Kluyveromyces lactis: one gene and its partners. The protein of the gene in region 1 purifies or fractionates together with the protein of each later gene. This does not show direct contact. Links are inferred from orthologs where the notes say so. Each region holds a gene or a part of one and is shown in the gene's direction. Other genes may lie near its edges.

Region 1 (3,281 bases):
TGAATCTTGTCAACGAAGTATGGATAATATTTGGACCAAAATTCGTATTCATACGGTACATATGTCTCCGGTATTGGGGCAGACCGCAATGCTGAGAACTCCCTAGCTATCTGATGGTATAGTTGATCTTCAGACTTTTCTGACCGGTTGTACATGGTTACGGTCTTTAACGAATTAGGAAGCTGCAAGACGGTGTCTCTTTCACTACGATCGATACCTTTACTGGCACTTTTCCGTAAAATATCAATGACAGCGTTTGTTATTCTTAAATATGGATCTCTGTCACATATAGCGATGTCTGAGAACAACCCATTGAACCACGAAGCTGATCTTTTGCTTAACAGATGTAGCCCTTTAGGAGCCATATTGATGAACTCCGGTAATCCAAGATCATCCATATATTCGTATCTTACTTTTTTAGAAGCATTCTCATCCGTATCCTCGGAGTAAACACACGTTTCTCCCAGCTTTAAACAGTTACTGCACGAGGGCTTTCCTCTATCACATTTCGTCTTACGACGCCTGCAATTCAAACATACAAGTGTAGGTCTATGTCTCTTCTTAACTGGTACCGGAGATAGCATTTCGTAAACCATAAGACGATTTGTGTGCAATTCACTCCCTGACTTTCGTTTTACTGCACTTGTAGTGTTTAGCGTCTGAAGGCGTGTCGGTTGATTCTGTATTACAAACGTTCAGACCGTTCCTGAAACAAAAAGTATTACCAGACCGGCGTGTATTCGATTTAATCGGCGTGTGAAAAGCAGTTTAGCAGTCTTCGCTACAATTGATATCCAATTCGAAGTTTACTTGTCCTTTCGGAGGCCATACACGAAATTGTTTCTTCATGAAAGAAGACCATTTGTGATTCCGGCAGTTTTATTTCGAGATTATACTTAATTAAGAATTTGACACCTAAAACGGATTGTCATTTAAGAAGTACTACATAATGATATTTACTGAAAATTATTCTTGCATGTTAAAGTACGTTAAGTGTACTACGTTATTCGAATCTCCCGACGCTTACATACTACCAATATCCATCTAATATACGATGACATTGATAATATTTCATTTGCTTCCTCTGTATTGAAAGTGGGCTTTGGATATCATTTCGTCATATTCGAAATTTTTCAATTTCGATGAAAAAACAAGATCCATGCATACTCGGAAACAGAGCGATGAGATGAGGTGAGATGATATGACTTAATATCACATCTAATCTGGTATATATATCTACAATTGTTGTTTCTAGCAGTTTTTCGTGATTTCTGTTTCTTTCATTTGGTACACAACCCTACGAGGAACTCCCGATGAGAATAACGCCTTGGAGATCGAGATCTGAGCTTGAACAGTTGAAGCAATGGTTGTTTGTAGATGATACTCCAGCATCGAAGAGAAGGGCCATACAACGAATTGACGCATACCTTACCAGGGGTCCATATCTCCCACATATAATAGAATATACGGTCCGTTTGATGCAATGCCAGTTGAACGACCCTGGCGAGGCGCAAGACGGCGATGATATGGAATATTTGAAATGGCAGTACTGCATGGTCTTGATTAGGTTTGTGAACGGTATGTTAGACCCAGTGCAACAGGCACAGTTTGCTATCCCATTACACACACTTGCTGAAAATATAGGGTTGCCCAGTTGGTTCGTTGAGTTACGTCATTTGAGTACACATGAAAGAGAACTGCCTAGTCTTGAGATGCTACGATTGTGTTGCAAGGAAGCGATACAATGGACGTGGGATAATTATTGGAATAATGATGAATGGGAAGAGGAAGATCAGGACTTTGATGAGGCTGAAGATGAGGATGCGACTGATGATAATGACGACTCAGAAGCCAAGAAAAGGAAATCACAGTCATCTGTTCAACTGAAATCCTTATTCACTCAGTATACTGGTCTCAAGAGATTATTGAAAGAGAATGAGTACCTATGGAAACGTCAAAGAATTGCTAGATCAACTTTTGGTGAGCAGGACTCAACCGAGGACGAAGAAGTTAGTGATTGGTTGACAGTTTTGAAAACTGCCTGGAAACAAATACACAAATCAGATTTCGTAGAGTATATGATCTTGCACTGCGACGAAACCTTGTTAGAGATATGTTTTCATTCCTTAGACACATTCCAAGTCAGGTGTATAGAGTGGCTAATAGAAAACTACGAGAAGAGGATCATGAATGAAGAGACGAAGATTACGGATCGGTTCTCAAATCATAAGAAGCTCTTGAAATTCGTAAATAAGTGTTGTTCCATGGTTAACGGCAGAAAGTTTTTGAGTAATGGATTGTTTAGTAATGTGGTAGATAAGTACCACAACTATCTCGTGTTACACATCTTAAAGAATTTGAGTAATGAAAGTGGATCTAGTGGTAATTACAGCGGTAGTAAGTCAAGAAAGAAGAAGAAAGCGAATGAGATAGACGCGAAAAAAGTTATTGAAGAATTTGAGGCAAAGGGGATCAGGAACGTTGAATTAGAGCTCTACAATTCAAGGAAAAGGACGTCTTCTGAAGAAATAGAGCCTGTTTCGGAAGATTCCCCGGCCTTGGATATATTGAAAGACTTGAATGAATTGAAAAATCAGTTCAAAAAGATCAAACAAAGCAATGCCCCCATCTCCAACTGGCAAGAAGTCACCGAGTGGACGCCTAGACCATTTGGCGTTTTGTAATTAGTATAATTAAGCCTTTTAGATACATAAGACAAAGCAAGAAAGATTGACAGTTCTACAGGTTCTGCGATGATAACAGGATTGAAAATGGAAATGGATAATAACATATAAAAAGATCAGACATCCTAGGAAGGTCTCAATAAAGAGCGGTCACTGAAGAGTACTAACGATGGGTTCGTAGGCGTACTCCTACCGTGGAAACTGCGAATGTAAAGGAACCAATTTTCATCATATAAAAAAATGTTAAAATCCATAACGCACAATCATGTTCTTAGCTAAAAAGAAGAAGTGAAACGTTTTGAAGAAATAAATGCAACAGAAGATACGACGATGGATCTTGTTTCACTGTTACTTTGACCTTAAGAAAACTAAAAAGAGAAAACTCAGATGATCTAAATTGTACATGTCAAAGCATGTACTGGCTTAAAAAGTCGTTGCCCCGTAAGACAACAACATGGTAGACTCCCATATCGTCATGGTCGATATCGGACTGGGAAAGAAGTGTAGACCGTTTTCATCATCGTTAAATGTTTTGAAGTTCTTTCGTAAGGTATGAAGTAATAATGAATCCCACGTATATGCAAACTTTTACGTTTA
Region 2 (3,267 bases), on another chromosome or scaffold:
CATCTTTGAACCCAGAAAAGGAGTACCCATGGAATGATTTATTCATCGATGAAATTAGAAGAGCTTTCAAGGCTTGTAAAGTTTTCGCATTTTACCCAATTTACTGGGTTGTTTACGGTCAAATGCTTAACAATTTCGTTACCCAAGCTGGTACTATGGAATTGCACGGTTTGCCAAATGATTTCTTACAAGCTATCAACTCTATTGCTTTAATTGTATTCATCCCAATCATGGAACAATTCATTTACCCATTTATCAGACGTTTCACTCCTTTCAGACCAGTTACCAAGATCTTCATTGGTTTCTGTTTCGGTTCTAGTGCCATGGTTTACGCTGCTGTCTTGCAACACTTTATTTACAAAGCAGGTCCATGTTACGACTTCCCAATGTCCTGTGCACCAGAATACGCAAACACTCCAAACAGAGTCCATATCGGCTGGCAAGTTCCTGCTTATGTCTTAATTTCTCTTTCTGAAATTTTCGCGTCCATTACTGGTTTGGAATACGCTTACTCTAAAGCCCCAGCCACAATGAAAGCCTTCATCATGTCCATCTTTTTGGTCACGAACGCTGTCGGTTCTGCTCTCGGTATCGCCTTGTCCCCAACAGCCGAAAATCCAAAGTACGTCTGGACATTCTCTGGTTTGGCTGTTGCTTGTTTCATTGCTGGTTGTTTGTTCTGGCTATGTTTCCACCACTACAACAAGGATGAAGAAGCCTTGAATGCATTGGATTACAAGACAGAAGAACAAGAACAAATGTTGTCAGGTGTTGGTGTCACCGGAGAAGGTGCTGCTTTATACAGTGTCTCCTCAGTTCGCAGTAGAGTTCAACAGCAACAGAAACAGCAAAATCTAGAGCATCAATTATCTCGCTCAGCTTAATGTTCTTTTATAACTCCTCTTTGGCCTTTGTTAATAAGAGAGAACACTCTCATCGCTGGCAAGGCAGAAGTACAGTCTGACAAATGCATAAAAAACTAATGTCTTGACATAAAGAATAAATCCATGTTTGATCCATTATCAATCATATCACGAACTATTTCGAGATCTTATTATTTTCTTTTTGTCCCTGGTTATATTATATTATTATTATTACTATTGTATTATCATTATCAACCGGTCATTGCACTGTATCTAGTCTATTATCAACGATAAATAGAGAACCTTCATGTAATCAAACACGTAATGAATAGCAATTGAATTGTTAAAAGCTCTATAATATCTCTATCCAGGATAGTTTCCTGCAGTGATACCTCCTAGGGAAATAATTTGTTTTGTATTTTAACGTACTCTCTCTTTGTCTTTTTATCTTGCAGACAGCATACAATAAGGCCTTTACAATTGGAAATTTTTCATGCATTTAAAGCTTTAAAAGAATCTCATCACCAAGACACATGTAAGAAAACATTTGACGAGGAGGTGTTCTATAGTGGTGACTAGTTCAGAACGTGAAAACCTGGTAGCTTTGAATAGACTTCTTGCATAATGGTACTATCTTCCAGTCTTTTCGTTCAAAAAAGAAGTACAACTACTGCTTTGAAGCAACCAAAAGAATTAGGTCATTATTCGAGAACACAGGACAATGGATTTTTAGTCAACGATGATTCGAGGCTAGCATACTATTACTTGCCAGATACGGATCTAGACAAGAAGCTTGATCTTTTAAGTGGAATCAAGAAGTTCAAAGAGTGTAATACGGAAGAATTCGACTCTACAACATTGCATGGATTACTTTCGACTTTGGAAGAGTATGAGAGACGTAAGAGTAAGAAGACGAAGGTGGATATCATTACGTTCAGAGGTATCATACGGAAGCTCATCTCCAGTGCTTTTGATTCATCACAGTTCAATCCGGTAAATTTCCGTATTGTTTCGTTTGATGGACAACTATTCATTAAGGAAGTCAAGACAGACGCTTCGGAAACCTCCATTAACAAGAATAGGGAGTCGTTACAGGCAAGGGCATATTACAGTGGTTACAAATTTGAAGCACTTGCAACCTTATCGCTGCCACTACCGTTGGTACCCAGAACTACATTGGAAAAGAGACCTAAAAAGATTATTAACAATGGGGACCAATTCATCTCAATGGTTAGAACAGGAATAGGTAAATGTAAGATATTGATCGGTGCAGAAGTGGACTGTATTTTTGATTTTAAAGAGGATTCAGATGACAACCTGAAGCATTACGCAGAGTTGAAATGTACCACAATGGTCAATACCGTTTCCGATGCGCATAAATTCGAACGTAAGTTGTTTAAAACCTGGTTACAGTGTTTCCTAGTAGGAATAAACAGAATTATATATGGGTTTAGAGATGACAATTTCATGCTCAAAACTGTAGAGGAGTTCACTACATCTGAGGTACCGCTAATATTGAAGAACAACAACCCACAGATGCAAACTGTGTGTGTAGATGCCATAAAATGGTATGGTGCCTTCACAGAGTGGTTATTGACAAGTATTCCAAGACCAGAAGACGATATTGACACAATTAAAGCCTATAAACTCATCTTTGAGAACAATCACCTAAAACTCACGGAAATTGAGTCTGACGACGAAGAATACAAGCAGCTGGTGGAAGGAGAAGAGATACTATCAAATTCGTTCAAACAATGGAGAAAAGATCTTCGCAAGTAACTTCTTTATACGTGATATATATGTACACAGAGAAACTACTGAAGTAGTTTACTAGAAATTGATATAAGCAATACAAATAGCATCAGTACTATTATTGTCTTGAAGGCAAGTGCCTGTATAAACGAATTTAACGTGTGTGCAAGTGTCTTGGCATATAAATTGGCCATCTGATGAACGCTGGGGTGCGAGTCCAGCTGCGCACAATGCCACCATTCATCACATTTCCCAGCTAAAGCCGGCCGTATTCCCTCACTACATCTATTCTCAACATAAGATCGTTTGCACTGAGAGATTTTCTTCATATCCACCCATTGCTGTTCCAATAACTGCCATTGCACATCTTTATGCACAGTCCAACAGAAATATCCCACTATTACCACAAGTAAACCCTGGAATACCAATTTATTCACTGAGTGCATGAGAAGAGGCTATGACAAGCTCTTAACCCAAGGTCTTAGCACAGGTCTTGGTTCATTTGGTGCTCTATTCAATACACCCGGCCAAGCAATGTGCGTCCCAAGATATTAATCAGTGATTCGAAAGGTTGCTCTTCGGCAATTACTTAAGAAAAAAAAAACCACGTGACTTGTGCTTTCAAATCGGCGAAATCGAATCCTTAAGACCA
Region 3 (4,196 bases), on another chromosome or scaffold:
TTACACTGGAAGATGATTTCATTGTGTGAATCAATAGGAGAACATCCAGTTGCAAAAGCTATTGTCAATTATGCTGATTCCCACGTAAATAAATCAAGCATTTTCGATTTGGATTTATCGAATGAGGAAGTTCTCATTGGAAAGGGAATTTCCTGTAACATCACAGATAAAAATACTTCTAAAATCCATACAATAACCATAGGTAACAAGAAATTATTTCCCGATGAGAGTTTGAGTGATATCGCTTCTTCTACTTTAACAGAATCTTATGTTTCCATCGATGGTAGTTTAGTCGGCAAATTTGAAATATCTGACAGGGTCAAAGAAGACGCACATTTTGTTGTAGAATATTTACAAAATTTGGGCATTAAATGCTGCATGGTCACAGGAGATGCGCATCAATCTGCTCTGAAAGTGGCACAACAACTTGGCATATCCGCTAATGATGTCTTCAGTGAAGTCACTCCTGAGCAGAAACGTGATATTGTCATTCAACTCCAAAACAACGGTACAGAGAGGGTTGCCTTTGTCGGAGATGGTATTAATGATTCTCCGGCTTTGGTTGAGGCAGATCTAGGAATTTCGATATCTTCTGGTACTGATATTGCAATCGAAGCTGCCGATATCGTTATTCTTGATTCGGATAATAAAAATAATTCGTTAAAAGGTTTGGTTTATGCACTTGATATTGCGCGTAAAACATTCTATAGAGTGAAGCTGAATTTCTTTTGGGCTGTCTGTTATAACACATTCATGATTCCCATTGCTATGGGTTTATTAGCTCCTTGGGGTATCACTTTACATCCAATGTTGTCTAGTGCTGCAATGGCTCTAAGTTCCGTGTCCGTGGTCTGCAGTTCGCTAATGTTGAAGAGGTGGACACCGCCTTCACTCAATATCAAATCAATGGAAGCTTCCGGTGGATTGTCATGGCTTAGATTTGGTAGAAACAGTAACAGAGGTGATGATATTGAACTTCAGGAAAGATTGATGTAACCTTAGCTATTTACGCTATTGCAATTCTTAAATATCAGTACTTGTATTATAACATTAATAAAATTCATATTCGTAATAAACGAAAGATTGTATAATAGAATCGCTGGATGAGTTTATTGTACAGTGAACCAAGCGCTGTGTTTAGCAATTACTGGTATTATTGTTACTCAAAGCGGTTTGTCACTACATCGTTGATGAGCTGAGTTATTTATCCGGGTAACAATAAACAATAAGTAAAATTAATCGATGAGATGAACATAACTTTAGAAGTACAGATGAATGCATACTGTAATCTAATAGGCAGTTGGTACAAATAGCGAGAAGTAAGGCCAGGTACTCACAATGGGTGTTCCGTCCTTTTTTCGTTGGTTGTCTAGGAAATATCCTAAAATCATTTCTCCTGTGTTGGAAGAATATCCAGTTATCGAAGATGGTGTTCAACTACCGCTTGATTACTCTTCGGCCAATCCCAATGGTGAGTTGGATAACCTTTATCTCGATATGAATGGTATTGTTCACCCTTGTTCACATCCGGAGAATAAGCCACCACCTGAAACAGAGGATGAAATGCTTCTTGCTGTGTTTGAGTACACAAATCGCGTTTTGAATATGGCCAGACCAAGAAAAGTCTTGATGATAGCGGTTGATGGTGTTGCACCAAGAGCGAAGATGAATCAACAGAGAGCACGTAGGTTTCGTAGTGCAAGGGATGCAAAACTCCAAAATGAAGCCAGAGAGCAAGTATTACGAGAAAGAGAGGACTATGGTGAGACGATTGATGAAAATGTCAAAAGTAAAAAGACATGGGATTCAAACGCAATTACTCCAGGTACCCCATTTATGGATAAACTAGCTACAGCTTTAAGATATTGGACAAGTTTCAAGTTAGCAACTGATCCCGGGTGGAAAAATTTACAAATTATTATAAGTGACGCTACTGTTCCAGGTGAAGGTGAACATAAAATAATGAATTTCATTAGATCTCAAAGAGCAGACACTCAATATAATCCAAATACAACACATTGTATATATGGGTTAGATGCAGATTTGATCTTTTTGGGACTAGCAACCCACGAACCTCATTTCAAAATATTAAGAGAGGATGTGTTCGCCAATAACAACTATAAAAAACCAAAGCCTCAAGATATGATAAATTTATCTGAAGAAGAGAAACAACAGCTTATTCAACAAGATTCAGAAAAGCCATTCTTATGGCTCCATATCAGCGTTTTAAGAGAATATCTTTCAGCAGAATTAGCGATTCCACATTTATCGTTCCAGTTTGATTTTGAACGAGCAATCGACGATTGGGTTTTCATGTGTTTCTTCTGTGGTAATGATTTCCTACCGCATTTACCTTGTCTTGATGTGAGAGAGAATAGCATTGACATTTTGGTGGATATATGGAAGACTGTGTTGCCCAAAACAAAAACCTACCTAACATGTGATGGTACACTCAATTTGGAACCTGTAGAAGCTTTACTTGAACAATTAGGAGACCGTGAAACAGATCTTTTCAAAAAGAAATACATTCAGGAAGTTCGTAAGCAAGAGGCTCATGATAGGCGAAAGAAATTGAAAAGTAACCCCAATGTTTCCCAGGGCAAGGTCGACAGAAATTTTATGATTCCGTTGGAGAATATGCCGGTCTATGATGTTGATGGCAACGCCGCTGAAGGCTCTTTGAATTTGTCTAATAAGGATTTCGCTAATATGCGTAAAGAAATTAATTTGGCGAATGAAGGTGATGGCGAAGCAGCTAAAGCTTTGAAACTAAAAAGTGAGAAGAATAGCGGTGTGGTCGAGTTTTCATCGGAAGAATTGAAAAATAGCGTGCAACTGTCGAAGACTGCGAACTACGATGCTGCTACCAGCTTACAGGAGAAACTTATTGCTAAGAAGATGGCAATGAGAGATGAGGAAAATGCAGAAGAATTGTCGTTGAAACGGAAAAGTGAAGATGTTGACTCTGCTGAAAAGGAAACATCCAATGAACCTGAGGATGATGAGGCCGATTATGATGAAGACGAAGGCTCTACTGTTCCACCAGCGGTCATCCACACCGGTATTGTAAAATCAGGGTTCATTGACACCGATGAGTCGGTTAGACTTTACGAACCTGGATATCATGATCGTTACTATCAACATAAATTCCATGTTCCAGCAAAAGATATTCCAGCTCTGCAAAAGGATGTGATTAGGTGCTATGTGGAAGGTATTTCATGGGTTTTATTATATTATTATCAGGGATGTGCGTCTTGGACTTGGTACTATCCATACCATTATGCTCCTTTTGCTCAGGATTTCAAGAATATAAAAAATCTAGATATTCACTTTGATCTTGGTGAACCATTCTTACCATACGAACAGTTAATGAGTGTTTTACCAGCAGCATCAGGCCACGCACTACCCGAAATATTCAGACCATTAATGTCAGATCCAAACTCTGAGATTATAGATTTCTATCCTGAAGAATTCCCAGTGGATATGAATGGTAAAAAGATGGCTTGGCAGGGTATTGCACTATTGCCATTTATAGATGAAACACGTTTACTGAAAACAGTTCGAGAACAATATTCTAAGCTTTCTGATTCAGAAAAGGCAAGAAATGTTAGGAAGAAGGATGCACTTTTGATCAGCAACAAGAATGTGAATTACGACCTGTTTATGAAGAATTTATATGGAGAAAACCCCGTTAACGTGATAGAGTTTAGACATTTCAAATCTGGTTTAAGTGGATTCGTAACACAAGCTGAAGAAGGGTTTGAACTAAACTCCAAGCTGATATGTCCTATTAATGGGGGTGGTTTGCCAGATTTGAGTACAAATTTATTCCTAAAACTTTCGTATACGCAGCCTGTGGTTGCGGGTAGATGTAAATCGTTAGTATTGAACGGATATATCCCACCTCAACCAATGCTTACCCCACAGGACCGAGACTGTATCATTTATAAATACAGTAACCGTTGGAATCCTTCCATGATGAAATACAACATTGTGCCTGTTGGCCCATCGGGGATTACCCAATATCAGCCCAGGGTTGGAGGTTACAGAAGTTTCTTCTTCCATAAAGAACAGACAGCTTATGCTCAACAACCGCAACAAAATAGAGAGTATATGCACTCGCAACAGAGACAGCCACAGGGCAGCAGATATCAACAGTCTAGGTATAATAATGGAAACTACAATAATAGTAACAA

What was found.
Region 2: the proteins of LAS1 (region 1) and RAI1 purify together in Saccharomyces cerevisiae (affinity purification with mass spectrometry; 3 studies listed by BioGRID). This does not show direct contact. The link is inferred for Kluyveromyces lactis from reciprocal best matches to the Saccharomyces cerevisiae genes LAS1 and RAI1.
Region 3: the proteins of LAS1 (region 1) and RAT1 purify together in Saccharomyces cerevisiae (affinity purification with mass spectrometry; 4 studies listed by BioGRID, with this or other methods). This does not show direct contact. The link is inferred for Kluyveromyces lactis from reciprocal best matches to the Saccharomyces cerevisiae genes LAS1 and RAT1.

The regions. Positions count from the first base shown.
Region 1 is NC_006037.1:554,683-557,963, reverse strand, and holds LAS1 (rRNA-processing protein LAS1), read left to right. Parts: upstream 1-1,313; coding exon 1,314-2,684; downstream 2,685-3,281. Other genes in the region: OAF3 (Oaf3p), read right to left, coding at 1-596. UniProt on the Saccharomyces cerevisiae protein: Regulates cell surface growth, bud formation and morphogenesis. May act indirectly by regulating factor(s) involved in these processes.
Region 2 is NC_006041.1:1,139,784-1,143,050, reverse strand, and holds RAI1 (decapping nuclease), read left to right. Parts: upstream 1-1,487; coding exon 1,488-2,642; downstream 2,643-3,267. Other genes in the region: PTR2 (Ptr2p), read left to right, coding at 1-884; BRR6 (Brr6p), read right to left, coding at 2,678-3,061. UniProt on the Saccharomyces cerevisiae protein: Decapping enzyme for NAD-capped RNAs: specifically hydrolyzes the nicotinamide adenine dinucleotide (NAD) cap from a subset of RNAs by removing the entire NAD moiety from the 5'-end of an NAD-capped RNA.
Region 3 is NC_006042.1:702,617-706,812, forward strand, and holds the start of RAT1 (ssRNA exonuclease RAT1), read left to right. Parts: upstream 1-1,338; coding exon 1,339-4,196. Other genes in the region: Cu(2+)-transporting P-type ATPase CCC2, read left to right, coding at 1-996. UniProt on the Saccharomyces cerevisiae protein: Possesses 5'->3' exoribonuclease activity. Required for the processing of nuclear mRNA, rRNA and small nucleolar RNA (snoRNA) precursors.